Linked DNA regions of Oryzias latipes. The protein of the gene in region 1 interacts with the protein of each later gene in a pairwise test. Links are inferred from orthologs where the notes say so. Each region holds a gene or a part of one and is shown in the gene's direction. Other genes may lie near its edges.

Region 1 (4,121 bases):
GCTTTGCCATGGGGGGGGCAAGGGCGTGGTCTCAGTTTAGGAAATACTGCCAAACAGTTTTGGTGCTAAACTACAGCCACCCGCTTGTAAAGTGACAGTTATTGTTTACTTTAGCAGGTTTTATCTTTCAAATCCATATTTTCACCTTTTAATTACTTAACTAAATGTTTAATTATAAAAGAAAATACTTTAACTATTTAGCTTGCAAACTAAAAAAGTAGTTAGTAAATAAAACATTAAAAAATAGATTGTATCAAAATGTGAAAACCTGCATTTAAAATGAAACCTGCTAAATATCCAAAAATATTTCAGTTAAAATGTAACTGTAACTTTACAAACAGCCCCCCCCCCTACGTAACAAACCAAAGGGGCATAAAAAAGTCAAAACATGAGCAGAAAGAGACAAAATGAAGACAAATAAACAGACATGAAGCTGCAGAACATCAGGATGGACGGAACCCGCCTCTTCTGACCAGAACCCCCCAGCTGCTGAAAACTGCCTAGAGGTCAGAACAAGAAGTTAAACTCACGAGTCCAGCTTCAACCCCCCCTACAGAAACGGAGGGTTTCTGCCCGGTTAGTCCCAACCGGTAAATCACTGCAGACACACGGTTTCAGCGCTTACAGCCTTCGACTGACCTTTCAGCGTTATAACACGCGGAAGCGGAAAATGAAAACAGGAAGCTGAGAAACTGTTCATCCACAGATTTCACAATAAAGGCCGTTTAGTCACGAAAAATCCCACTACACTAATAAAAAGATGTAAACGACTTAAATTCAAATTTCAAAATATATTTAAACGTAGTATAGTCTGTAAAAACGTAAAATAACTGAGAAAATGTTGCAATTTTAAAAAGTCTAAGATGAAGCTTGAAACTCCAACCGGAAGTTAAAGACGGTGCACTTCCTGGTTTGTTTGCCGTTGACAAGTGTGAAGAGTTGCGGAGACCAAGCAGAAAAAGGTTCGCTTTTTAATAAAAATAAAAAAAAGATGGCGCTTATGATAAATTCATTTGCGAGATTCCCAGTTTTGCGCTAAACAGAGAGAAGAACTCAAATAGTTTGCGTCCCGTTAGCTGTTATGCTAGCTAGCAGCTACTGCAGAGAGCTCAGTACTGAAGTACCGACGTACAGCGAGTTGCTGGAGGTTCTGCTGAGTTCATCCAGGTAACAAAAGAGAACCTCAGCGTTTCACAGGAGAAGATCTAGTGAGTCTCACCTCAGGCAGACCTGGACTAGTTTGAACCACGATGGGGTTCTTCAGAGGACAGAACTGACTGCAGGAGCGTCCTGGTCCTGGTCCCGAAGCTTCCGTTTGGATCCGGTTCGTGACTCCGGTCCACAGACGCTCAAAGCTGCACGTGCCGTTTCAACAGGTGGCCACAACCAGATTCCTCTTCAATAGAGTTTTATGAAACAGAGGCAGACTGGTGAGCCCCCCACCCCCCACGTCATCATCACACCTGTCAGAACCCCAAAGTACACAAATAAACGGAGGCAGAACCAATTGGAACCAAAACTTTAGGCTGAGAAAAGCCCAGCAGTGGATGAAGGTCTGAAGGGGCCTCTGCTGATCAGTGGAACTCCAGGCCTCCTCTCTGTGACACAGGAGGGTCCGGTTCACATGGAGGGTCTCTCTGGGTTCAGGTTCTGGTTCTGCTGGGACTCCTCACTTAAGCTTGAACATGAAGCAGCATCACACGGATTGTGCTGGACGTGAACTAGGACCCATTTTTTCCCCCGTGTCTAGGCAGACATTGAGATGACATCAGAGCGGCAGCTGGTGGAGGAGCAGGTGGAGCGGCTGCTGAGTGGCCAGGGGTCAGAGGTCAGCCTCTGTGATGTCGGCATGGAGCAGAGCAAGCCGGCGGCGCTGAGGAAGAACATTACCTACATCGTCTGCGCCGTCATCTTCAATGAGAAGGCAAGCCCAGCACGCCATGAGAGCGGCGGCCGCTCCTCCTCATGTTGAAGCCTGTTCGTGTGGCTCCTTTAGGAGGAGGTGCTGATGGTGCAGGAGGCCAAACAGGACTGCTACAAGCAGTGGTACCTTCCTGCAGGGAGGGTGGAGGTGGGGGAGAGCCTGGAGGAGGCGCTCAGGAGGGAGGTGAGGCATGCAGGAGTCATGTTTTTTTCTCCACCCACTTCCTGGCTTACCTGTTCTGTGGCTGTCTGCAGGTGAAGGAGGAGGCGGGGTTTGACTGTGAGCCAATCACCATGCTGCTCATCCAGGAGCAAGGGCCACAATGGATCCGCTTCATCTTCCTCGCCAGGATCTCAGGTGGTGTCAGAGCGACCCGGGGTGCTCTTTGGGGGGGGGGGGGGAACCTCAGTGAACCTGGGTCTCCTCTTCTCCAGGTGGTAGTTTGAAGAGTCTGGCAGCAGCAGATCAGGAGTCTCTGCAGGCCGCCTGGTGGGACAGACAGTCCCCCCTCCCCCTCAGAGGACGAGACATCCTCCGCCTCATCGAAAACGGGCTCAAGTAAACACCAAACGTTCACCGAACATCACATCTGTGGAGGTTTTCCCGCTGTCTAGACTGACGGTGCTGCCTTCAGGTACCGCAGGAATCCCTGGCATCCTGTCACTCTGCCAGTTGACCTGAGTTGTCGTCACGTGGTGCAGAGGATGGTCCTGGTCTTTGTTGGTGCCGAAGATCAGATCTGGATCCTATTGGTCCGAGGTACAACCCCCAACACACAGTCTGATGTCGGTCCCGAAGCATGATGGGAAAATGGTTCCAACCCTCCTCCCTTACAAACACTTACATACGCCGTCTGTGTGAGGCGTAGAGCTGACCTCCTGTTCCCTGACCGGGTCATGAAGCGCCTGGTTCCTCCTGAATCAGAGTCTAACACCGACCACTCTCTCCTCCACCAGGGAGGAGTAGTTTGGCTCCTCCCCCTCCCTGGTGGAGGAGGAGCAAAGCTTCCCGTGCATTTTTCTGACGGTTTTCTTATTTTCCTTTTTCAGCAGGATGACTGCTTTTATTTTGAAAATCTTGTTGACCTCCTCCTGACCTGCAGGCCCGACGCCCCATCTCCCCACCGCCGCGGCGGTGAAAACCCATGCGGTGACGTGGGCGGCCAACATGGTGGTGCAGGAGGCCCTGCCGTCGTCCTACTACGACCACGACGTCGCCACGCTGGGCGTCTGCGGCCTGCAGCACAACGGGCGGCAGCACGGGCGCACGGACGGTGTCTGCCTCAACACGCTGGTGGCGCTCGTGCCCGATCGCGTGCAACGTGACGAGGACGGACTGAAGGTGGAGCTCCCGCCTACGGGGAGGCCCCCACCCATAGAGAACCCCCGATACGTCTGGTTTGAGGTTCAGAATCTGGATCTCAGAGAGAAACTTCTGGAAAAAACCAGAAACACGTCCGTGCTGCCGATTCACAGCCTGTACTGAGCGCGCTCAGTGACAGCAAGCGGACTTTCAGGGTGACCTCACGACCTCAGCGTCTCAGATGGAGGGAAAGTATTTGCCCCCTGAGGGGTATTATCATGTTGCGTCAGTGTTTCCTGCAGTTGTCAATGTGAATGTGTGACTGTGAAGCTTTCAGAGCAGAATCGTTCTCCTCCCAGGAAGGTCCGTTTGTGGCTCATCCAGATGTTCCTCTGGGTTCTTGTTCCTCAGCCGTGTCTTTTTCCTTCATGGATCCGCGTTTGTTCTTCTGACTGTTGGATCGGGAACCATCTTCTACTGCTTTCAGGATGAGATCTCTTTGTGGAGCCGTTTTGATTGATGGTTCCACCGAAGGTTCTCTGATGGATCTCTGAAGTTCTAAAGCTGCAGGAACGTCCGTGTGACTCCTGGAAACGTGTCAGAGGCCGTGGGAGAACCTGAAGATGTTCAGAACATCCAGACTTCAGGAGACACCGTTTCAGATCAACATCTGTTCCTTCAGCTGCTGATGAACACAGAAGCTTCAATGTGTGATGAAGAAATCGTTTCTCAGGGAGGGGGGCAAAGACTTTCATTGAGGGGTTTTTGAGTGCAGATCGTGGGGTTAAAGGTCGTGTTTAAATGAACTTTTCTCTAGGAAATGAGACAAACGTTTGGACTGAAATGTGTCTGAATGATGTGTGACGGCATTGATGCACTTTAACGGCGTTCTGTT
Region 2 (3,952 bases), on another chromosome or scaffold:
GAGGCAGTCACCGTACAGACATCCAAGCTTTCATTCCACAGTGATGATGTGTGCAGACAGTGCAGGATGGTATACTATCAGCTGAGCTTTTAGTGTTATTACACTGATTTTTCAGAGTCGGCGCTCATCCGCAGACTTCTGAACATAAAAACCAAGTAAAAACCTGGTAATGGCTGCACGGTGGTGAAGTGGAATCATTATGGGATCCCTCAAGAGCTCCACGACGGTTTGTGGCTCTGCATCTTTTCTCAGTTTCTCAGTCACACGCAGAAAAACAGCACCATCTGCCTCAAAACAAATATGGCAGGCTAGTAACTATGGCAACCAGAGGACAGGAAGCAGCACAGGAAGCACAAACAAAATCACTGGAAGAAAAAAAAATGAAAGGAAGTTTTGAAACTTCTCCACCACAAGGCTTTCGCCATACAGTCACTGCCAAGTAGTGGAGCCCCCGCTGCCACCCTTACCAAATAACAGCTGTCTTCCTGTATTCTGTTTCCACGCAACAGCAACCATGCATGAGGTGGATACATGCATACAGGTGCCTTTTTTATCAATGCGTTTGGGCTGGAAATAATATGGAGCTCTGCATAATTTGTGTGAAAAGTTCCTTCAAACAGATGTGATGAATGAATCCTTCATTTGCATGCTTTTTGTTCTATTTGAGCAATATACTCAGAAATACCGTTACTCGTACTCGACTACAGCTCCAGGCTGCCCTCCATTTAATTATCATGTAGTAAGCAGTCTTCAGGAACTTCTCTGCAGGAGCAGACGTTCAGACTCAGAGGCAGGTAGGTGAGCGTGAAGGGTGTTTGGGTGAGGTTGGAGTATTATGGGATGGCCTGCGCGAGGACTGCGGTGTGTTCACATCCCATAGCAGGTCACGTGTCGGTGCCACGAAGACAGCCAGTTCCGCCTCTCTGAGGAGTGCTCAGACAAACGCCGCCTACACCCGCAGGAGGCTCACAGGGAAGCACAGAGCCCCGCACAGACAGAGCCCCGCATTCGAACGTTTGCTGCTCCGCGTTGAGGATTTCTGCCCGCGTTTGCTCTGCTTACGGCGCATGCTCAGACCAACCGTTCGCGCTTTAGTGTTTTTGAGGAGCCCCGAGGTGAGTTTGGCCAGATCCGTGACGGGAGGCGGGCGAACCCGCGCGGGCCGTTGACGGCTTTTGTTTCTCGAGACAGTCACTCGCTCAGCTTGGGCTGACCTTCCCGGAGTGGGGGCCCTTTTAGCTAGCTTCAACCGTGGAAAAAAACTAAACAGAGGTCGACGAAAACCCGTAAACCATGACGTCAGCGGTCGCTTATTCCTACAAGTCAATATTTTATGACTTTACACGCGCGCGACAATTGTCAAGGAGGTGCCCCCAAGTCGCCGCGGCCCCGGACTGTCCGTTCCCCGTGTCCCTGAAGGCCACACGCGGCGTTTGCGGCCCGACTGACAGCCCCCGTCGGGCTGGAGCCCCCCACCCCCCACCCCAGAGTCAACAGAGGAGAAACCAGCGCGAGGCTGACTGATCAAAGTCCACAGGCTCAAGCCGCTGTAATCACGTTTCTCTGTTGATCTGGAGGTTCTGGTGATGGACGGAGACTGATTGAGTTAGAAATCTGTGTCCGGTTTTTGTCATCTGCTGGTGTTGGTTAATGATCCAACCTCTGATGTTCCCCTGTTGTGAGAAAATCTTTTAAACAAGCATAATTACCCAGACCGACTCATCTAAAGTTGACAGGACGTTGTGTTCTGTTTGTGTTTCTTTTCTTCAGACTTTCTACACTTTAGAAAGATGACTACTTCATGGAGCGACAGACTGCAGAACTACGCAGATTTGCCCGCCACCATGGACGGCCTGGCGATGAAGAAATACAGGAGGGAGCCCTACCACAGGTGAGAGGCCCCACTTGAAGATCTGATGATCCGCAGAGGAAGCATCACAGACTCCTCTCTCATCATCCTCCCACAACTGATTTAAACTCGGAAAACTATGGTAACATTGGATGCAAAACAGCATTTTGAAACAAGGAAAAAGGACTTCCAAAAGCTGGAGCCATCAAGTGCGTTTGTGAAAGAAGTGGCTCATGTTCTTTTAGAAAAATCCTCTTCAGAAATACAGAAGAGCTGTTTTTGGTTTCCTCAGCTGACGTTGTGGGCAGGAAAACGAAGCCTCTTCCTGTTCTTGTTACCCGCAAGAGCAGATACTGCTGGTGTTGTTAATGCGTCTTCGTGGACGGCCTGTGAAGGCAGGTGAAGTATGAGAAGCAGTGTGGGAAATAGGTTGGAATGGGGGGAGGACGGTTTCAGGTGTGATGTGTAACTAAAGAGCGTCGGCCAGAATGAAGGGAAAGGTGTAGAAGACGGTGCAGCCATGTTCCTCGGGCGAGTCAGAGCTGGAGGTAGCTGAGATGAAGATGGATAGGATCAAGAATGGATCCGTCAGAGGACCAGATCATGGTAGATGTTTCAGAGATAAATGCAGAGAAGCAGATTGAGATTGTTTGGACATGTTGAGAGGAGGAACTGTGATTATTATAGGAGATGGATGCAGAGGTTGGAGCTACCAGGTCAGAGGCCTAGAGAGAGAGAGAGAGATCTCTAAAGGGAGCCGGCGAAAGGAGGAGACAACCAAAGTTGGGTTTTGAATAAAAGGATTTGTGTTAAATTGGAAATTAAACCACACTTTGAGCTTGTGGTACTTTGTACATTAAGGATTATTTACTTTATTACAACATAATTATAATTTAATCAATTCAGAGGCAAAAAAAACTGTTGACACCCAACTGTTTTCTTCATCTGCCTCCTTTTCTGCATAAACCTTTGAAAGGAGTTGAAGTGGATAGCGGTTTTTTTCTGTCTCTTTGGGCTCCGGGTCTGTAGTGATGCTTCCCCTCCGAGTCTCTGGTGGTTGTTATGTGGGACACGTCGGAAATCACGAAGCAGACCAGCTCCTGTTGGATCGGATCCCACATTGGACTGCTTGGTTCTCGGCATGAACATTTGTGCAGAACTTCCCAGGCCTTCAGCCCACCAAGCTCCAGTTAAACACCACGTCTGATTCTATAGCCTTTTTAGTAACGTCTATAACCAAAACCCAGGACCCCCCCCACACATACACACATACACATAGGGAAAACAAGATTTTGTTTTTACAGTAATAAAGCTGATATCAGTGTTTATCTGCAGGGGGTAACATGCAGGGGCAGAGTCCACCCCTGCTATTGTTAATCTAGGGTCGCTAAGGAGTGGCATGTGTTGTGGTGCTGTTAACCCCCCCGGAAAGATCTTACCTTCCAAAGCTAATGATGCTCTAAAATAGAAAAGGAGTGAAATCTGCGGCTCAACGTGAGCCGGCTGGCTCCATCAGGCTGACGGGGAGCTTCTGCAGAACAGCTGCTTCTTCTTTCGCTGATGGACTTCAGTCTTCCTGAAACTTCTGAGGAGGCTAAGTTAAATGTCAGTAAGACTGTTTGATCTTTTTCAGGAAAATTCAGATATTTCAGTGTTTATTTGGGAGTGTAGTTTTTCTTCTAAAACGTATAAAAACTGAGATCAGTGTTGTAACGTTGTTGGATTGCAGCTTTAAGGCAGATTCCAGCCTGTTAGAGGTGAATATCAGCTTTTGGGACCGCCACCGCTGCTCGCGTTTCCACAGCGAGCTCTGCAGCTGTTGCTGCGGCGCGCCTCGCTCCACACCGCCTCGGATTGTTCTGGACCTCTTCGAGGGATCACAAACATCACACAACAACAGCCCCAACTGGCAACACACAACAACAGAGAAGGATGCGGAAAGGCCACAATCGTTTTTGCAACAAGTCAGAAAATGTCTGAATGGCAAGAAAGCCGGGGGGAGGGAGGGCGCTTTGTTTGTGGCCACGGCTCTTGGCTGCCGTGGGGGGAGCCCGTCAGAACAGTCCGACTCCAGCTTAATTTCACACAGAATGTTTTGCCGGT
Region 3 (3,500 bases), on another chromosome or scaffold:
TTTTTCCTTTATGTCATTCCACTTTAAAAACAGATAATTGTAAACTTTGTATTTTGTTGTATTATCTTGTTTTCCATCTGGCCCAACAAAAAAAAGTATGCAAACATAATCAATATCAATAAAGTTTAATCTAAAATACAAAAGGGGTTTGTACAAATATACACCTCGTGTGTCAGAAGACTCATAAACCTTTATTGTAACAGTAAAATCAAGGCAATGAGGCCTTCAGCTCTGACCTGTTTGATCAGCTGTTGGATTGGATGAGTAAAAAAATAAAGAATGAATTTGAATTATAGAAATGTAAGTTTTTGAGTTCTATATAGTTACGATTTTAATTTGTATGTTATTAAGAACCGTACTAATCTATAGATAAGCAAAGCAAAAAGAAATGCAAATCAAAGGTCATCTGAGCAGAAAAATACCTGAAGAAATTCACTCTAAATGATGTTTCTGGGACTGATGAACTGATGACTTCTATTCCAGCTCTGATTGGTGTCACTGTTCAGCGCCTTCGATAACAAAGACCGAAAGGCTCAGATAGTCACATCGAGAATCTTGCACTCACGCTATGTACTTACCCACTTTCAATATTGAGTATTTAGCCTGATAGGAAAGCATTTTTCCATTTGAACCTCTTTACTATCATCTGCACGCCTTCACCTTGATGTGGTGTCATGAATGAGCAGAAAGCACTGAGGGTTTCTGTTTACTGACATCACTCTGGTTCAGAGCCTCCAACAGCTGCTGGGTGCCATCAGCCACGAGGTCTTCATCATTCTTTCCAATGACAAACATGGCTTTTTGCTGCATGGTCATTCAGAACCGTTTTTTTTTTCTAGATTCTTTTCAAGCTTTTGCTACAAAAAATAAAGCTACACTTTTCCGAAATGGTAAAATCAGCTCCAGAGGAGTACGACAGTGACAGCTTCTTCTTATTTAGACGAGGAGATGAGAAAAGGGAAAGAAACGTGTTTGGAAGGTGTGACTTCACATGTGTGATTTAGCTGAAACTCTGTGGTAAACATGAGCTCAACCACAAGCTCTTACATGAGCAGTTGTTTGCTGCTCTGTTCTATTACAACAACACAAAAACTCAACAAAGGGGGTCAGTTTGTTTCCCACGATGCATGAAACCTGAGCGACGCTCGGGCTCGTTAAAGATCACGCAAATCCATCAAACGACACGCCACACTTTTGCTTGCTGAAGTCTTATTCTTATTCTTTTTTTCTGTCAGTACACAGAGGAGTTTGTCAGCAACCTGCAGACGCAGCTGGAGCAGTCGCGGCTGCACGAGGCCGAACTGCTGGGAGCGCTGAAGGAAATGCAGGACAAGGTGCTGGACCTGGAGAAGGTACTCCTCCATAAACGGCGTGATGCGTGTGGATGCGTCACGCATGACTAACCCCCATGTTCATGCTTTCGTTTTGACTTCACGTGTTGACGGGCCGCAGCAGCCTCTCATAGTCTTTGTGACTTTAAGGTGACATCAAACTGAAAGCTACACGCAGAAAAAAAACGCCTCAGTGGAAATTGCTTGTTTGTTGCAAATGAATGGAAGCAACAGTTTCTCAAACACTCCTCTGTTTGGTCGCGGATCACCCACAGAACCTTCTGGTGTGAAAAAAGCTTCCTATTTTATTTACTAGACAAGGTAAACTTGTGTTTTAAGCAGCTTTGGCACAACCGTGGACCACATGGAGTAATATATAGCAGTGTTTTTCAACCTTTTTTGAGCCACGGCACACTTTAACCTTGATAAAAATCCCGCGACATCCCAGTATCAAAACAAATTAAAAAAAGGAGAAACCCAAAGTCTGTATTGATCTACAGTCCCTTGCAGCTGTTTTTTCTAAAAGATGTAATAAAAGTTAAGTTAGAAGATTTAAAAACTGTCTGATGTGTGTTCGTTGTTGTTTCAAGACGTCAAAGGAAGATTCATTGTGCGCTGAGACGCTGTCACTTTAACCCAGTGCCTCATGGGAGATGTAGTGCGAACAGCCACCAAACGCCAGACAGACTTTCGTCTCTGAGCTTCATTGATTTGTTCACTTGTTCCACAGTCTGACACCGGATCCCGCGGAAAGCTACATCGCTAAATATGAGCTTTAGCTGGTCTTTTTGTTGGAACTAAACAACTTTATGAGCAGAATCGAAGTGAGGACTTTAACCACTTCTGATTGGTCAGACTGATGACATGTGATTAAGCCTCCAAGAATGATTGGTGGAGGCAGTTGAAGGGGCGGGACTTTTCCTAATACAGCTGTAGCTGTGGCTAAAAAAAGAAAAAAGTCATTTACAATCTTTATATTCCTAACTACTCAGTGTTTTATCAGGGCCTGTTTGGATGAACACAGAGCCGATATCCTGGAGATGGAAAATGTTTTTAGATCGGTTAATGAGGGCAATTTTCCACGGCACACCTGACCATCTCCACGGCACACTAGTGTGCCGCGGCGCACTGGTTGAAAAACACTGATATATCGAACCACAATTGAGAGAAAGTAATGTTTAAATCAGAGCAATTTAGTTAGACTCCTTGTGTCACCACAGGCGTCCCACAGGGATCTATCATTGGACCAACCCTTTTTCTCTTATCTACATAATCAACATAGTTGTCCCTCAAAGAGACTCACGCATCCTCCACTATGCTGATGACACAATCCTCTATTCTGTCACCCCCCTGTCCAGGCACAATGAGAAAACCGTTACTGCATAGTTTCACTGAGCCACAACTTACCCTGAACTGCATCAAAAGTTAAAGTTTTCCAAATGTTTACACTCTCTCCCGCTAGCTTACAGCCCCTCACACCCCCAAGCTAATGTTACCGGTGAAACAAAGTAGTGAGCAATATCAGAGCTGTACAGTTTTGATCCAGATTCCAGCTCAGACGAGGAAAACGTGGATCTATTTGTCTAAAAGTGGATGAACCAGAATGGAGCGGAGCAGGGAGACTGTGGCCCGCCCAGCGTATTTTCTACGTCACAAATAATTTGTTTCTCCACCAGCATTTTTTGTCTGCTCCTGATCCACAATGGCTTATACAAAGAAAATACTCAGAAATGCAATTTGAGCTGAATTTTCTTTATATTTATCCTCCATCATTGAAAAAAATGCAACAAGAACATGTTAAAAACACCATTTACATCGGAGCGGATCTTTCAAAGGTATCTTAATAGATATTTTAGGGAAAAATGCAGGAATACCGTTTAAGGATTTTTATGACTTTAGACCGTCTTGTCTCATTGCTGAAGTTTTTTGTCTGTTTCCTCTTTTCTTTTCTCAAAACGTCTTTCCTTTTGCCAGGCCACAGTTGAAAATAAGAACATTGTCTAGATATATAGGAGCTAAATAAAAAAAAAATATTTTTGAATCTTAAATCCAGAAGTTTTTTGTTGTATACGGTTCCTAGAAATCCAGAACATCACTGTGCAATCACAGAACCTGCTACACTTTTTAAAACTCGTCTTCCCTGGAAGGTATTTCCTCTCACAGTCACAG
Region 4 (2,591 bases), on another chromosome or scaffold:
CTTTTGTTTGTGGTCTTCTGCAGATTGGTAGACCTGGATCCAGAGCCGGACCTGAGACTGGAGGGAGGGGTCCAAGGTGGGCCCCCCTCGGGCAGATCTCATGGCGAGCTCACCAGGCTGCGCAGCTCTTCACTGGAACTAAGAGAAAAGGAGATAAGAGAGAAGGGCTCTGAGATTCTTAGAGAACAGTTGGATGCTGCTAAGAGGGTGTGGTAACCTACTTTATACGCACAGGCATAAACAAAGAGAGAATTGAACAAAAAAGTTGACGGTGCAGTCTTTCTTTCCCAGTTGATTCGTTGTTTTTTTTCTGTCCATCTCAGGAACTGAAACTTAAAGATAAGGAGTGTGAGCGTCTGTCACAAGTCAGGAACCAGCTGGAGCAAGAACTTGAGGAACTGACTGCCAGTCTGTTTGAGGTTAGCAAAAACTACAGTTTCCTGTGTTGCTGTAGAAGTGTTAGGGACACTGTGTGCCAAACTATTTGGAACAAAAATATTTATTCATGCATGAAAAGGTGAATTCAACACATTGTATTTGACATTTTTATATTATTTTATTTGTATTAGATTTCAAGTGTTTTTATGCTTGGTCCTTTCTAAAGCTGATCAACGTCTACTCTATTGATTTAGTGTAGTGATTGTCTTTTATCAGAGAAAAATGTCTGGTTGTCTTTCAACAGGAGGCTCATAAGATGGTGCGTGAAGCCAATGTGAAACAGGCAGGAGCAGAAAAACAGCTGAAAGAGGCTCAAGGAAAGGTGTGCACATGTTCTTTTGTGCTCATAATCATGATACTTTGAACAGTAATGGCCTACATCAAACCCTTTAAAAATGTTTTAGAGTATTTTTTTTTTGCTACCAAGTCCATTTTCACAACTGTTCTTTGGCTTTGTCCCATCAGATTGATGTTCTGCAGGCAGAGGTGACTGCACTCAAGACTCTGGTGCTGACATCGACGCCTTCCTCACCTAATTGGCAGCTGCATCCACAGCTGCAGACTTCAGGTACAAGAGGGTCATACAAACATGTCGGAGGCCATGTCCGCAACAAGAGCGTAAGTGGAGTTTTTCCGACCTCAGCTGGGAAGCTGGAATCTTCATCCCATTCTATTCCATCTGTGGCTAAAGAGGATAGAGAGGTAACCAAAAAATATTTGGGATTTGTCTCTCTCTTTTAGTGTTTTTGTAACTCTGAACTCCTTCTTTTTCTATACCTTAAGCCTCTTCTTGAGTCAGTTTGACCTATGTTTCCTTATCTGTCTTCTTGTCCGTCTTTGGTGTGTCCTGTCTTCTCAGTCTTTTGTTCCTGCTCTTCATGCTCTCATTTTCTGCTTGCTATCAGGTCAGTCTGTCAGGATGAACTCTTTGGGACAAGCAGGTGCCAACGCTTTATTCTTGAAACAAATATTGAATGCAAAAAAAATCGACACGTGTATTTGATATGTTCATTAAATAAACATGCAACTTTCTTTGTATTTTTTAGTGATTTGTGGTTTATTTGGGTGGTAAAGCTTTGTGTCAAAATAGTGGAAAAACTGGTGCTCAAAACCCATATTATTCTAGACTTTTGAGTCATCAGGATTGCCATAGGTACATTCACACTGCAGGGCTTGATGCTCGATTTCGATTTTTTGAAAAAGTTCAATTTTTTTTGCAAGGCCTTTCACATTTCCAATTAAATGCGAACATTTGTGATCTCCTGTGTGAACGTGAAATGACCCAGAAGTGACCCGCATGCGCAGAAGAGTACTCAGCGGTGAACGACATCACTCGTTGTTTGCGGAAGTAGCTAACATTAACAATGGATGTCAACAACAGTGTTGTCAACAGCGGATCTCTTTTTGCATTATTACATTTATTTTCACAAAGGAGCCAGCACAATTACAATCTTCTCATTTTATTGGAGCCAGGATTGTCTGGACCCACTGTTGTTGAATGGGGATGTGGATGTGCTGGGGCTGCGTGCGTGTGTGTAAGAGAGAGGAAAGTGTGCATGCAGTGCAGTATTCTCTGCTGCGCTGCGCGCACACTCTCCTCTCTGAGGGGCAGTGGGGGCGTGCAATCATGTTGTGTGTCACGGAGGAAGGAGAACGATAATAAAAGAAGGCTCCCCCCAGCAGAACTGCTTTTGACTCTTTATTAACCTGCTCTGGAGAATCGGAGGGTCCGAATGGGGAAGTGAACCCCGAAGGAGGATCCGCCTTCGGCCCTGGAGAAGGTCTCCCCCGCGTTTCTGACCACGGTCGGAAAGGGGGAAAATAGTCATGCGGGGCAGGTTCAACACCACGCTCGGCCATATAGCTGGAAAATTTTTCAAAAACCGCCCGGTTGCGATGAGAGCCCTTGAATTTGGCCTGAACAGAGCTGTCACCCCAAATATTAATCCAATCGGTGACCTAGCGTCCGTTCCACTGACTGGTCTCAGCAGCATCGTCCGCCATGGTTGATGTTTATGTTCTAGTTCGTGCCTACTTCAACGCAGAATTATGACGTTTGTAGCGTATCAATGACGTACAAGTCGGATACATGTGTCCTGGCCGTTCAGACAGGGGTCGCATTTTAAAAGATCGGATACGTATCGGATTCAGGA
Region 5 (2,082 bases), on another chromosome or scaffold:
TGGGTCTCGCTGGAGCCTTGTCCCTGCCGGTGTTCTGGCTGGCTGGAGCTGGAGCTGCTGTGTTTTGGGTTCTTGGTGAGATAAACTAAGTGTTTCCGTCATACTCTATGTTCACCAGAACATCTCTTTAAACACTCAGTTGTAAAATTAGAGCTACATTGATATCTCAAGTTATGTTGGTAACCAAAGGAATACTGTTGTGGCAACTTCCATGAACATAGAGAGCTGCTCCTCAACAGGGGTTTAGGCACTTGGTCAGGTTTGGTCAGGCTGGCTTAACCCTTGTGCTATCCTAGGCCCTTTACCACTGGGAGTTGGGTCATCTAGACCCACCAGACAGTGCTCTGAACCTTTTTTCTTCAATGATTTGTGATCTTCATTGGTGTCCATGGATTACATGAAATCTTTCCACCTTTATCCACCTTTGTCATGGTAGGGAGAACACGTCAATGTAAGGGTGGGGTCATCTAAGATAGGACAAGGGTTAAGAAAGAGGCAAAAGTGGAGAAACAGAAAAGGGGGATGTTTTTGCCCCTTGTGCTATCTTAGATAGCACAAGGGGGGGGAAAGCTGCAATGAAACTGATTCCTTTTCTTTATTTGTATCTTATATTCCTGTTGTTTTACCTCAGATATAGACACAAGAATGCACCTAGACCATAATCAGCTAAACAATGATGTAATTTCATTTATTTAGGACTTTTTTTTTTGTCTGGTTTTCCTGACTTTTCTTCTTTCGTCTTAGGAGCAACACTGTTTGTGATTGGCACACATGCGGTTTTCCGTGAGCTGGAGGGATCCGACATGGAGGAGCTGCTCATGGAGTCTGTGTAAAAGAAAAAAAAGAGGGTGAAACACTTTCCCAGGTGCTGGTCAATGTTTGGGGGGTCCCTTTGACCCTACAACTGCATCAGCCCTCAAGGGTTTAGGAGGGGGAAAGCTGCAATGAAACTGATTCCTTTTCTTTATTTGTATCTTATATTCCTGTTGTTTTACCTCCAGATATAGACACAAGAATGCACCTCGTCCAGCCTCATCGATTACTGTTCTTAATGGCAAACTCATCAATGCAGACCAATTTTATGTTTAACGTGCCTTAGAGCACATCATTTGACAGATTCTATGCCTTTCTGTGCATGTTTGCTTCTTATTTGTATGATTATTCTGGCTCTTTGCATTATCTTTTATCAAAAATGACGTTACTTATTAATAGTGTGTCTGTGCTGCACTATAGTGCAGATTTATTGGGAAATAGATTCTGCTTGACAACAACAGGTATCTCGCATTGAGAAAACATTTACATTTTTGTTTTTTTAAGATGAAGTGCCATTCAAAAGTTATAGTGGGCCTAATAACATTGTACAAAAACTTGTATTTAGAACATTTTAAAAAAGGGCTTTTTAAGTTGGTGGTAAAACTTGTCAGAGAAGGTCAGTATTTGCCTCTTACATTTGGTAAATATTTTTTCGGTTCTAGTCTGATGGTGTCCAAATCATGAAGCTTGTTTCTGAAATTGTCTATTTTGATGTAACTGTTGTCTTTTGCTAAGATTTGGAAGTGCAATAAAATGTGTTTAAAAAAAACATTGTTTTGTAATTCGTATGTTTGAGTAAATTCCTGTAGGATGCAATGACCTCTGAAGCCGTGAAGGCATGTTTTTTTTTTGCACTGTACCTGTCCATCTTCTTTGGCTCCAGTTTGTATAAAGTCAAATAAGTGGATGCCCGTCGCTGTGGCTGCGGCGCTCTTCCAGCACACCGGTACTGCAGTGCTCGCCAACCCCCTCTCATCCCCCTCTTGATGCGACCCCTGCGACCTGTGCTCTGTGGCAGCACGGTGAAAGGCCCCCGTCTTCACGTTGCCATGGCAATGACCTTGGAGGGCCCCAGTCAGACGAACACTCGTCCGCAGGAACACTCGCTTACACACTGCGGCAGAGGCAGGCGATCGATATTCTATTATACGTAGGGTGACGAGGGAGGCAGCACAGTCGCACTGCAGTGAGCTCGCTGCAGAGACACGGGGGAAATTAGAACGGGGGTGAGAGTGTGTGTGTGTGGGGGGGGGTTTGTCAGCCAGAGTG
Region 6 (4,138 bases), on another chromosome or scaffold:
CTTGAGCAAAGGACATTACAAAGAATATTACAATTTTACACACACACACACACACACACACACACACACACACACACACTTGGACTTTTGGATTCTTTCTTATTAGTTTGTTCCATCTGTTTTTTTCCCCCCAATCAAAGCAACAAAAATAATGTTTAAAATACAGATGTAAAATAAATTTTGAAGTGAGTGGTTTTCACGTACCTTAAATCTCACCATGCTTGCCTCCAGCCGGAGTTGCTCCACCAACTTTTGTGCCTGAATAACACTGTTGTTGCTGCAGCTGGGAGTTTTTCCAGACATCCCTTTCAGTGCAAGAGTTCTGTTTCAACAGTCTCTGCAGGAAAAGGGCGCTGGAGCAGTTTTTAAACTGACCCAGGGTGACCTCCCGTTGTGGACACTTTGCCCAGAGAGGCTGGTCTGACCTGTGCCCTCTTTTTATTCAAAGGTGTGGGCAGTTCAAAGACCCTGTGATAAGAGAAGGTCAACCGACCAAAATGTCAGCAACATCATACATTTTACTTCACAGGCATAGCTGATGAAAAACAGGAACACATGCTTTTTTCTATAAGAGTGCTGCAGTAGAAGAGAAATAGAATCAAGTTCATTTTCATTTTACCATTTGCAGCAAAATTAAAGTGCCAACTAAAGTGGCAGCAAGCCTATGTATATTCAATTACATATTCATTAAATTAATAATATATCAAATTAAAAGATTATACAAATTGAATTCTCTATCTAATGAAAACTGAATATTGAGAGGCTGTTGCAAAGAAGCGCTTCTTGAGTTTGTTTGACCCTGACCCTGATTATCCTGTAACCCTTCCCTGATAGAAATACAGATGTTCAAACAGATCATCTCCAGGGTCTGACATGTCTTTGAGGATGTTTTTAAGTGAAGCCCTTACCTTAAAGGTGCATTTAAAAGAAAGTCTCTTCAATTTTTGAACTGCTCATCTAAAAGTGATCACAGATTTCTGTTATACAACTAAATGTGTTATAATTTGGGGTAAAAATGTTACAAAAGTGGGCAAAATTTTAGATTTGTTTTGCGCTTTATTCAAACATGCTTTAAAAAACTTTATTATTAATTTATTTAATTCCTGCAAAATAAAAATAAGCAATGTTTCTAAATTGATTAAAGTTAATGTTCAAATTAAAGCATTATTTAGAATAGCAATTGATAGCGTAATAGTCAAATAAAACTTTTAAACACAAGCATGTACTTTTTTATTTTTTTAAAAGCAATGACAAAGATGATGGAAAAAAAAAAACCGGGAGAGTGAAGGTTTGCTTTTAAAAGGAAAAAAGTTTGTGCGGTTGGCATTGTTTGTACCTTCACGCTTTCCGTAGCTAGCTAGCTTCATGCTACATGTAGCCCATGCGATGGTTACTGGCTATGTTCCATCTGCGCATTTGCCGTCACCTGGCCCCTAATCCCATTATAACTTAGTCTCTCTTTGATAACAGGTATGTTTTAAAGTTTTCATGTATCTGTTTTCATTTTCACCTTGTTTAGAAGACTCTTTTAGTTAGCATCTGTGTTTCTCATCTGTGTTTATGATCCAAATTGTTCTGGTTTTTGTTTTGCTATATATTCAGATAGTTAATATTATGATTTTAAAAAAAGCAATGCTATTAGTAAATGTGTTTTTCAGCTTAATGGCTTTTTTGTCAACTTTATATTAATTAAAATGTGTTAAATTAAAATGAATTATAGTGCATCAAGTTTTGTTCTTGTAAAAATGTGCTTGGAGGAAAATGTACTTTAGTTTCTAAAGTGACCCCCCACCCCCCTTGTTTTTTGTTTTAAATAATCCAACTCAGAAACACAATGACAGTTTTTTTTATTGTTGTGGATTTTTTTGGTTGCAGGAACAATGTCAGACCACGCCCCCTCTGTAGCCATGGAGGCTGTCTTGAAGCCCAGCGATGACCTCCCTGACGACATGCCAAAAATCCGAGGCTATGACTTCAACCACGGAGTCGATCTGCAGGCGGTGCTGAAGTCCTACCTCACCACAGGCTTTCAGGCCAGCAGCCTAAGTTTGGCCATTCAACAGATCAACAACATGGTATGTGAGCCGAATAGAGAATAATTCCCTGTACACAGCTGTGCCATTCCTTATCTCCAGAAAAGTTTGTTTGCATCTTCCTTAAATATAAATTTAAAATGTTCAGTATTTTTTTCTACCTTATCTACTGATTGTACTTCACGTCAGACTTTAGATTATATTTATTTGGCATTGCTTTTGTGGGATTATTTTGATTAAATGTATGTCCCAGTGGCTATTATGAACTACTTAACACCTTACAGATTGAGAAACGCCTCGAGCCAATGGAAGCAGACGATGGAGATGAGTTAAAGCAACACTCGGGCTGCACTATCTTTCTGGGTTACACCTCCAATCTGATCAGCTCTGGAGTGAGAGAAAGCATCCGGTACCTCGTAGAGCACAAAATGGTACAGTTGGTTGTCATGCTTGTCCGAAACTGTCAACGCTAACAGACAGAGCCGTTTCTTACATTCTCTTACTTTGTTTTAGGTGGATGCGATTGTAACCACAGCTGGAGGAATTGAAGAGGACTTGATTAAATGTCTGGCTCACACCTATTTAGGAGATTTTAGTTTGTCTGGGAAGGAACTCCGGCTGAAAGGAATCAACAGGTTGTTATTGTAGATTTAATATGCTAATTTCTGACATCACTTGTTGGATTTAAAATGACAAAAATGAGGGATGGGCATTTTGACTGGCATTTACTCCACACAGCTCATCAACAGCTGCTCCTTTGGGTGCTGTTGTCACACTAAATTTTCTAGATAAATCTGTTATTTTTGGAACTATTTTTATTGTTGACTGTGAGTTTGCATTCAGTATCTATAGTCATATTTAAGCTGCAATCGCGCCTCACAGCAGCTTCATCAGGAACACATCAGTTAAGATACAAAAACATCACTCCTTCTCTGAACTCCTTCTCCTTCTGTCTGCCATGACTATAGGATTGGGAATCTGCTGGTTCCCAATGATAACTACTGTAAATTTGAAGACTGGCTGATGCCCATTCTGGACCAGATGCTGCTGGAGCAGAACACAGAGGTAAGGTTTTTTTTCTGATCAATTACCAACGTCTGAAACAGCAGTGATGCTTTAACAGTCACTTTTTAAAAAGATTTGCAACTGCAAATTCATTCCATTTCTCCCACTAGGGTGTGCGTTGGACTCCCTCCAAAATGATCCATCGATTGGGCAAAGAGATCAATAATACTGACTCTGTGTACTACTGGGCCTATAAGGTTAGCAAAATAGCAGTCGGTAACTGAAATGATTGAATGTGTTGTCATTTCTTAGCTTTTTTTAAGTAGAATTTGTCCTCATTTTATTTGCTCAACTGAATTTTTTGTGCCGTGTTGTTTCAGAATAACATCCCCGTGTTCAGTCCTGCTCTCACCGATGGCTCTCTGGGTGACATGATTTACTTTCACTCATTTAAAAATCCTGGCCTGGTTTTGGACATTGTAGAAGGTGAAAGCAAAAATCCCTTTTCTATAGTAAAGTTAGGGCTAAGTCGTCTCATGAATGTGGTGTTTGTTGCAGATATTCGCAGACTGAACGGTCTGGCAGTTTTTGCCAAGAAGACCGGAATGATCATCCTGGGAGGAGGGCTGGTGAAGCATCATATAGCCAATGCTAACCTTATGGTAATTGACCTAGTTCGTTAGTTTTCCCTTTTTCTCATTTACGTGGCACTTAGCACAGAAAATAACCTTTGTGCAGGGGGAAATTTAAGGGGAATTTCTCTGAAATTACACTTTTTTATGTCAAATGTTGCTTTCAACACATATTAAAAGAGCAGTGGTTTCAATTTTTGTTAACTGCTATATATAGTTTTATTGTGTCCTTTAAAAATACTGCAAAGCTTTTACGCCATTTCTAACAGCATGGGATGTAAATGTGCTTAGAAAGAAAACAGTCATTTTATTCAGAAATTAATGTAGTTTTTAATTTTAGATGCACTTTCTTTGACTAAATAGAGTGCTAATTTAGTTTTCTTTTTCTGACCTCCTTTTATGAAGCACAAAAACATGTGTATCTATCTATCTATCTATCTATCTATCTATCTATCTATCTATCTATCT
Region 7 (4,134 bases), on another chromosome or scaffold:
CTAACTGGATAGGTAGAGTTAGAGGCAAACACACTGTGCATTAGTCACTGTAAAATACATGTATATATAACCCTAAAATTGATAATTTTTGAACAAAGAAAGCTTTCACAAATGATTATTGGCTAAGGTAATGCAAATTCTATGAGCACTGTGTTAATGATGAGTTAATTTTCTTTTCTTAATTTTGATGTTCACTGGATGTAGCGTGCATTGCCCTCATGCAATTGTTTACCTGAGCCACTTTAGTCACTGTCATGTTTTCAAGTTACAATCATAATCCATATTTTTTAACCAAATCATCTGATGCAAAAGTACCAGAAGACCAACTATGCTGTATATTTCACCAATTTCCTTGTTCTTCTTATTTAATTAACAGATGTGATTACCTGAGATACAGCACAACATAATGTATGAGCAGGTGTTCTTTCAAATCTTGCTTGCTGATGTGTTATTTTATTAATGAAAGTATGTGGGCATTTTGTTTGTTTGAGTAAAAGTTTGTTTGTTAAGTGTAACGTAAAAATCCCTCCCCCCACATTTATAAATATATTAAACTTTTATGTAACAGACAAGTATTTTGTTGTGTGAGACTTTCTTTCAAAATACTACAATAAAAAGAAAGCCCGTGGAAAAGATTCACCAGATTAAGCATACAACTCTCAATAATTATGTGGGGTAATTTGGGGGAACAATTGCACAAAATTCTTTTGCATGAGACAAAACATGAGCATGAACTATCTGACAATGCTGCTTTTCTTAACACAGAGCAGTAATGTGGGCTACACCATTCAGAGAAACATTTTATGATTAAAAAAAATAAAGAAAGAATAGAATAAAAAAAATTAAGAAAAAACTTTGATAGTGGTTTTATGTATCACAACAAACTTTTGCAATTTTTGGAAATTTGTGCAAACTCTTTTATCTGAACTTGTCCAAATTATATTTTTAATTCTAATCTATCCAGATAGTACCACTAAGGATACAAAATAGTAGACAGCTAACACATTAGGGGTCTACACAGTGAGAATTACACTACATTATACTCCAATTATAAGGTAGATTGACGTGACTACTGTAAAGATTCATTGATTGCTTAGATACAATCTATCAATAAAGTATAGTTAAAAAGTCAGAAAGAAATTTAATAGCAAATGAAAAGTTGTAGATTCTGGCGTTGAGCACAATGGATTAGAAAGAAGAAAAGTCTATATTTACACGTTTGCAAGGTAGAGATCACAGATTTCTTGGTATGTCAGGCTCGCCTGCATTATCCTCCGCAGCACACGGTGGCGGTAGTGAGCCGTAAAAACAAAATCCCATTTTGGAAGCACAAGAAGATGCTGCTCGGAGAGGTGAGCTGTTAGCTAATAATGTTACGTATATTACCAGCACTGCGATATTCTCAGCGGCGATCTTTGTTTTTTTCTACTGCTCCACGTTTCCTGGGAAACAACTTTAGCACTCAAATGGTCACTGAAAATAAAGGCAAGATAATTTTATGTCAAGAGGTTACTGACATCATTAGACTAAGCGAGCTTTTTAGTCGCTGTCTGTGTGTCTCCCCGGTTGGTTTATTTTTAGCTAGAGTGTGTGCTAACAGGGTGGACCGACGCGAAATCTATTTTTATTTTTTATAGGACGTAAATGCTAAGAAATTAATCAACACAGAGCTGTGTTTCGCATGCCAAGAAGAACTTCTTTGTCACTCTAATCTGGCAAACATCTTCATTGGAAGATAATTTTATGGATGAAAAGTGCAGTTATTTGCCTATTTTTTTTCTTTTTTGTTTAAATGACTCTGTAAATAAATGTGTATAAAAAACACGATTTGATCTGTTCGTTTTGCTGCTTATGTATGCATCAACCCCGGTAGTTCTGTCTCCGTTTCCTGTTTGGGGGAGGAACTATTTCCTGCCCGCGAGCGCTTAATTCAAACAGTTGCTTTCCCTCCAAAAAACTGGAACGGAAGGTTGCAGAAATCAGCGAAGCTGCACAGCGAGTTGCACATAGCTTTTAGTTTTGTATTACTTTTGGTATTTTTTTAACCGTCTTCTGGTTCTTAACTGTAATACTTTGCTACCATGCCTGTGTTAGACGTCGTCACGGATGCTTCAGCAGTCTCTCCATCAAAGAGAGCTCGGACAGAACCTAGAGCAGAGGAGCAAAGAACGGTTCTTAGGTTTGCTAAGCTCTCTGAGAATGCCACGACCCCCACGCGAGGCTCATCCAAGGCAGCAGGATATGATCTGTACAGGTTAGTCGGTTTTTATTGTACATGCACAGGTGTTTTGGTGTGACAATCATTCCTAAACATTAACACGAATAACGTCAAACATGTTTTAGGTTCGCCTGTGTGGAATCAGAATGTTTTAAATAACTTTATTTTTTGTGAAACAGTGCATATGATTACACCATTGGTCCCATGGACAAGGCCATTGTGAAGACAGACATTCAGATTGCAGTTCCTCATGGCTGCTATGGGAGAGTGGGTGAGTTGAACTGAAGAGCTGCTCTTTTATATCCTTGTACTTTTTTAGCAACACAATTTAAGACTATTATTACCATTTTACCTTCTCAGCCCCAAGGTCTGGACTGGCTGCCAAGCATTTTATTGATGTTGGTGGTATGTTTCTTTTTCTTTTTTTGAGCTCATTGTCACAGCCTAACCTATGTGTTGGTCATTTCAATTCCTGTTTTTGTGTGTGTGTGTGTGTGCATTCTCAGCTGGGGTTGTAGATGAGGACTACAGAGGAAACTTGGGTGTTGTGCTTTTTAACTTTAGCAAAGAAACATTTGAAGGTGAGTTGCCGTCAATAAACACTACATTTATGTCACTTGTGCCAGCAGTTACATGCAGCTGGGAAGTAAAAATGCCCTGGAATATTAGGCTTACCTGTAAACATGACATAATTGACTATAACAAACAGTGGATATGCTTGTTGTTGGAGCATTATACAAGGGAAGTAGAGAGGTGTTTGCTAAGGCAGATGCAGATGTCCATATAAATGTCTGGTGTTCTTCCTTGCAGTGAAAAAAGGGGACAGGGTTGCTCAGTTGGTGTGTGAAAGAATCTGCTACCCAGAGCTGGAAGAGCAAGAGGTAATCCAACACATTACAGCTGTTTTATTTGATTTATGTTACTAAAAGAAATGTTTTACCCAAAAAATAAACCTTTAAATTGTTTTTCTTCATTTAAAGTTGTGATAAAATAACTGTGTGAATTCATTGTGTTTGAAAAAAATACTTGCATCTCTCAGTACTAGTTTTTATGCAATCTTTGTGGCTCTACAATGATCAACATGTAGTCCTGCAGGTTTCACGACAGCCCTACAATGAAAGAAACGTAACACTCAGTTCACCAAAGCCCAGCAATACTTGTTTTCTTCATAAACTGAAAGTTGAGGGTCTTTTACCATCTAAAAATACAGATGTCATTGCTCACTGTAAAAGTTTTAATTTACTTGGATCTGTCATGCTTTTTCAGACACTTGATGATACGGAGCGAGGGTCTGGAGGCTTTGGATCGACTGGACGCAACTGAAGACCTCGAAACAAATTTGAAGTGACAATACACTGATGAAGTTATTTTATGTTACCTAGGTGCTAATAAAGTTTATTTTTTACAGTTTCATAAACTACATTTCCTTGTTTGGATCCACTTTTTTTAAACTTTAGATCAGTCTTAAAGTTGTAATACTCATAATCTCCACGTGGTGGCAGTATAAGACAATTTCCCTGCAGCCCAACTCCTGTTACAATCCACATTCCTGCAGTAGTGTAGTGTAATTATCATAGGGGTGGAGGTGTGAAATTCTCCAGCATCTGGAAGGCGTGTGCTTCGGTTTCTCAGAGCCCTTTAACTGCATTTGAAATGTACTTAGCCAAAACATTCGGGGACACTGCTGCACCCCACCTTGGTCATGCACAACTGCAGCTTTGGTGTAGTTAGCGTCTGTCTCGGGTTTCAACTTTGACGAAGGGGAAAAGCCAAGCAGGGAGTTCACCGTACACCAAAGTTGTTTTTATTGTGAATTTCTCAACTTAACCCTCACTTGATGTGAACAGAGAACACAGACGGGTGTCTCGCTGGTCCGTGGCAATGCGGCACTGATTTAACTTGTGAGAGAATGTGCG

The links.
Region 2: the proteins of nudt18 (region 1) and nt5c2 interact in binary tests that used the Homo sapiens proteins (3 or more experiments, as listed by UniProt). The two-hybrid records come from large-scale screens. The link is inferred for Oryzias latipes from reciprocal best matches to the Homo sapiens genes NUDT18 and NT5C2.
Region 3: the proteins of nudt18 (region 1) and evi5l interact in binary tests that used the Homo sapiens proteins (3 or more experiments, as listed by UniProt). The two-hybrid records come from large-scale screens. The link is inferred for Oryzias latipes from reciprocal best matches to the Homo sapiens genes NUDT18 and EVI5L.
Region 4: the proteins of nudt18 (region 1) and rab3il1 interact in binary tests that used the Homo sapiens proteins (3 or more experiments, as listed by UniProt). The two-hybrid records come from large-scale screens. The link is inferred for Oryzias latipes from reciprocal best matches to the Homo sapiens genes NUDT18 and RAB3IL1.
Region 5: the proteins of nudt18 (region 1) and rabac1 interact in binary tests that used the Homo sapiens proteins (3 or more experiments, as listed by UniProt). The two-hybrid records come from large-scale screens. The link is inferred for Oryzias latipes from reciprocal best matches to the Homo sapiens genes NUDT18 and RABAC1.
Region 6: the proteins of nudt18 (region 1) and dhps interact in binary tests that used the Homo sapiens proteins (3 or more experiments, as listed by UniProt). The two-hybrid records come from large-scale screens. The link is inferred for Oryzias latipes from reciprocal best matches to the Homo sapiens genes NUDT18 and DHPS.
Region 7: the proteins of nudt18 (region 1) and dut interact in binary tests that used the Homo sapiens proteins (3 or more experiments, as listed by UniProt). The two-hybrid records come from large-scale screens. The link is inferred for Oryzias latipes from reciprocal best matches to the Homo sapiens genes NUDT18 and DUT.

The regions. Positions count from the first base shown.
Region 1 is NC_019867.2:402,651-406,771, reverse strand, and holds the start of nudt18 (8-oxo-dGDP phosphatase NUDT18), read left to right. Parts: upstream 1-1,321; 5' UTR 1,322-1,411; coding exon 1,412-1,430; exon of another isoform or gene 1,431-1,476; intron 1,477-1,750; exon of another isoform or gene 1,751-1,754; coding exon 1,755-1,924; intron 1,925-1,996; coding exon 1,997-2,107; intron 2,108-2,178; coding exon 2,179-2,281; intron 2,282-2,358; coding exon 2,359-2,482; intron 2,483-2,558; coding exon 2,559-2,683; intron 2,684-3,026; coding exon 3,027-3,409; 3' UTR 3,410-4,121. UniProt on the Homo sapiens protein: Mediates the hydrolysis of oxidized nucleoside diphosphate derivatives. Hydrolyzes 8-oxo-7,8-dihydroguanine (8-oxo-Gua)-containing deoxyribo- and ribonucleoside diphosphates to the monophosphates. Hydrolyzes 8-oxo-dGDP and 8-oxo-GDP with the same efficiencies.
Region 2 is NC_019859.2:29,631,490-29,635,441, forward strand, and holds the start of nt5c2 (cytosolic purine 5'-nucleotidase), read left to right. Parts: upstream 1-1,152; 5' UTR 1,153-1,650; coding exon 1,651-1,678; intron 1,679-1,770; coding exon 1,771-1,891; intron 1,892-3,435; exon of another isoform or gene 3,436-3,452; coding exon of another isoform or gene 3,453-3,454; intron 3,455-3,952. UniProt on the Homo sapiens protein: Broad specificity cytosolic 5'-nucleotidase that catalyzes the dephosphorylation of 6-hydroxypurine nucleoside 5'-monophosphates.
Region 3 is NC_019859.2:2,642,080-2,645,579, forward strand, and holds part of evi5l (EVI5-like protein), read left to right. Parts: intron 1-1,235; coding exon 1,236-1,352; intron 1,353-3,500. UniProt on the Homo sapiens protein: Functions as a GTPase-activating protein (GAP) with a broad specificity.
Region 4 is NC_019864.2:15,779,452-15,782,042, reverse strand, and holds part of rab3il1 (guanine nucleotide exchange factor for Rab-3A), read left to right. Parts: intron 1-23; coding exon 24-207; intron 208-323; coding exon 324-419; intron 420-682; coding exon 683-760; intron 761-903; coding exon 904-1,140; intron 1,141-2,591. UniProt on the Homo sapiens protein: Guanine nucleotide exchange factor (GEF) which may activate RAB3A, a GTPase that regulates synaptic vesicle exocytosis. Promotes the exchange of GDP to GTP, converting inactive GDP-bound Rab proteins into their active GTP-bound form.
Region 5 is NC_019874.2:20,933,491-20,935,572, reverse strand, and holds the end of rabac1 (prenylated Rab acceptor protein 1), read left to right. Parts: coding exon 1-75; intron 76-744; coding exon 745-833; 3' UTR 834-1,582; downstream 1,583-2,082. UniProt on the Homo sapiens protein: General Rab protein regulator required for vesicle formation from the Golgi complex. May control vesicle docking and fusion by mediating the action of Rab GTPases to the SNARE complexes.
Region 6 is NC_019866.2:13,273,114-13,277,251, forward strand, and holds the start of dhps (deoxyhypusine synthase), read left to right. Parts: upstream 1-1,338; 5' UTR 1,339-1,470; intron 1,471-1,875; 5' UTR 1,876-1,880; coding exon 1,881-2,075; intron 2,076-2,317; coding exon 2,318-2,464; intron 2,465-2,546; coding exon 2,547-2,668; intron 2,669-3,001; coding exon 3,002-3,098; intron 3,099-3,208; coding exon 3,209-3,295; intron 3,296-3,418; coding exon 3,419-3,524; intron 3,525-3,596; coding exon 3,597-3,700; intron 3,701-4,138. Other genes in the region: guanine nucleotide-binding protein G(I)/G(S)/G(O) subunit gamma-12-like, read right to left, coding at 205-303. UniProt on the Homo sapiens protein: Catalyzes the NAD-dependent oxidative cleavage of spermidine and the subsequent transfer of the butylamine moiety of spermidine to the epsilon-amino group of a critical lysine residue of the eIF-5A precursor protein to form the intermediate deoxyhypusine residue.
Region 7 is NC_019861.2:13,031,777-13,035,910, reverse strand, and holds dut (deoxyuridine 5'-triphosphate nucleotidohydrolase, mitochondrial), read left to right. Parts: upstream 1-1,334; 5' UTR 1,335-1,370; coding exon 1,371-1,485; intron 1,486-1,806; exon of another isoform or gene 1,807-2,081; coding exon of another isoform or gene 2,082-2,094; coding exon 2,095-2,254; intron 2,255-2,397; coding exon 2,398-2,489; intron 2,490-2,578; coding exon 2,579-2,623; intron 2,624-2,724; coding exon 2,725-2,799; intron 2,800-3,028; coding exon 3,029-3,099; intron 3,100-3,484; coding exon 3,485-3,541; 3' UTR 3,542-3,640; downstream 3,641-4,134. UniProt on the Homo sapiens protein: Catalyzes the cleavage of 2'-deoxyuridine 5'-triphosphate (dUTP) into 2'-deoxyuridine 5'-monophosphate (dUMP) and inorganic pyrophosphate and through its action efficiently prevents uracil misincorporation into DNA and at the same time provides dUMP, the substrate for de novo thymidylate biosynthesis.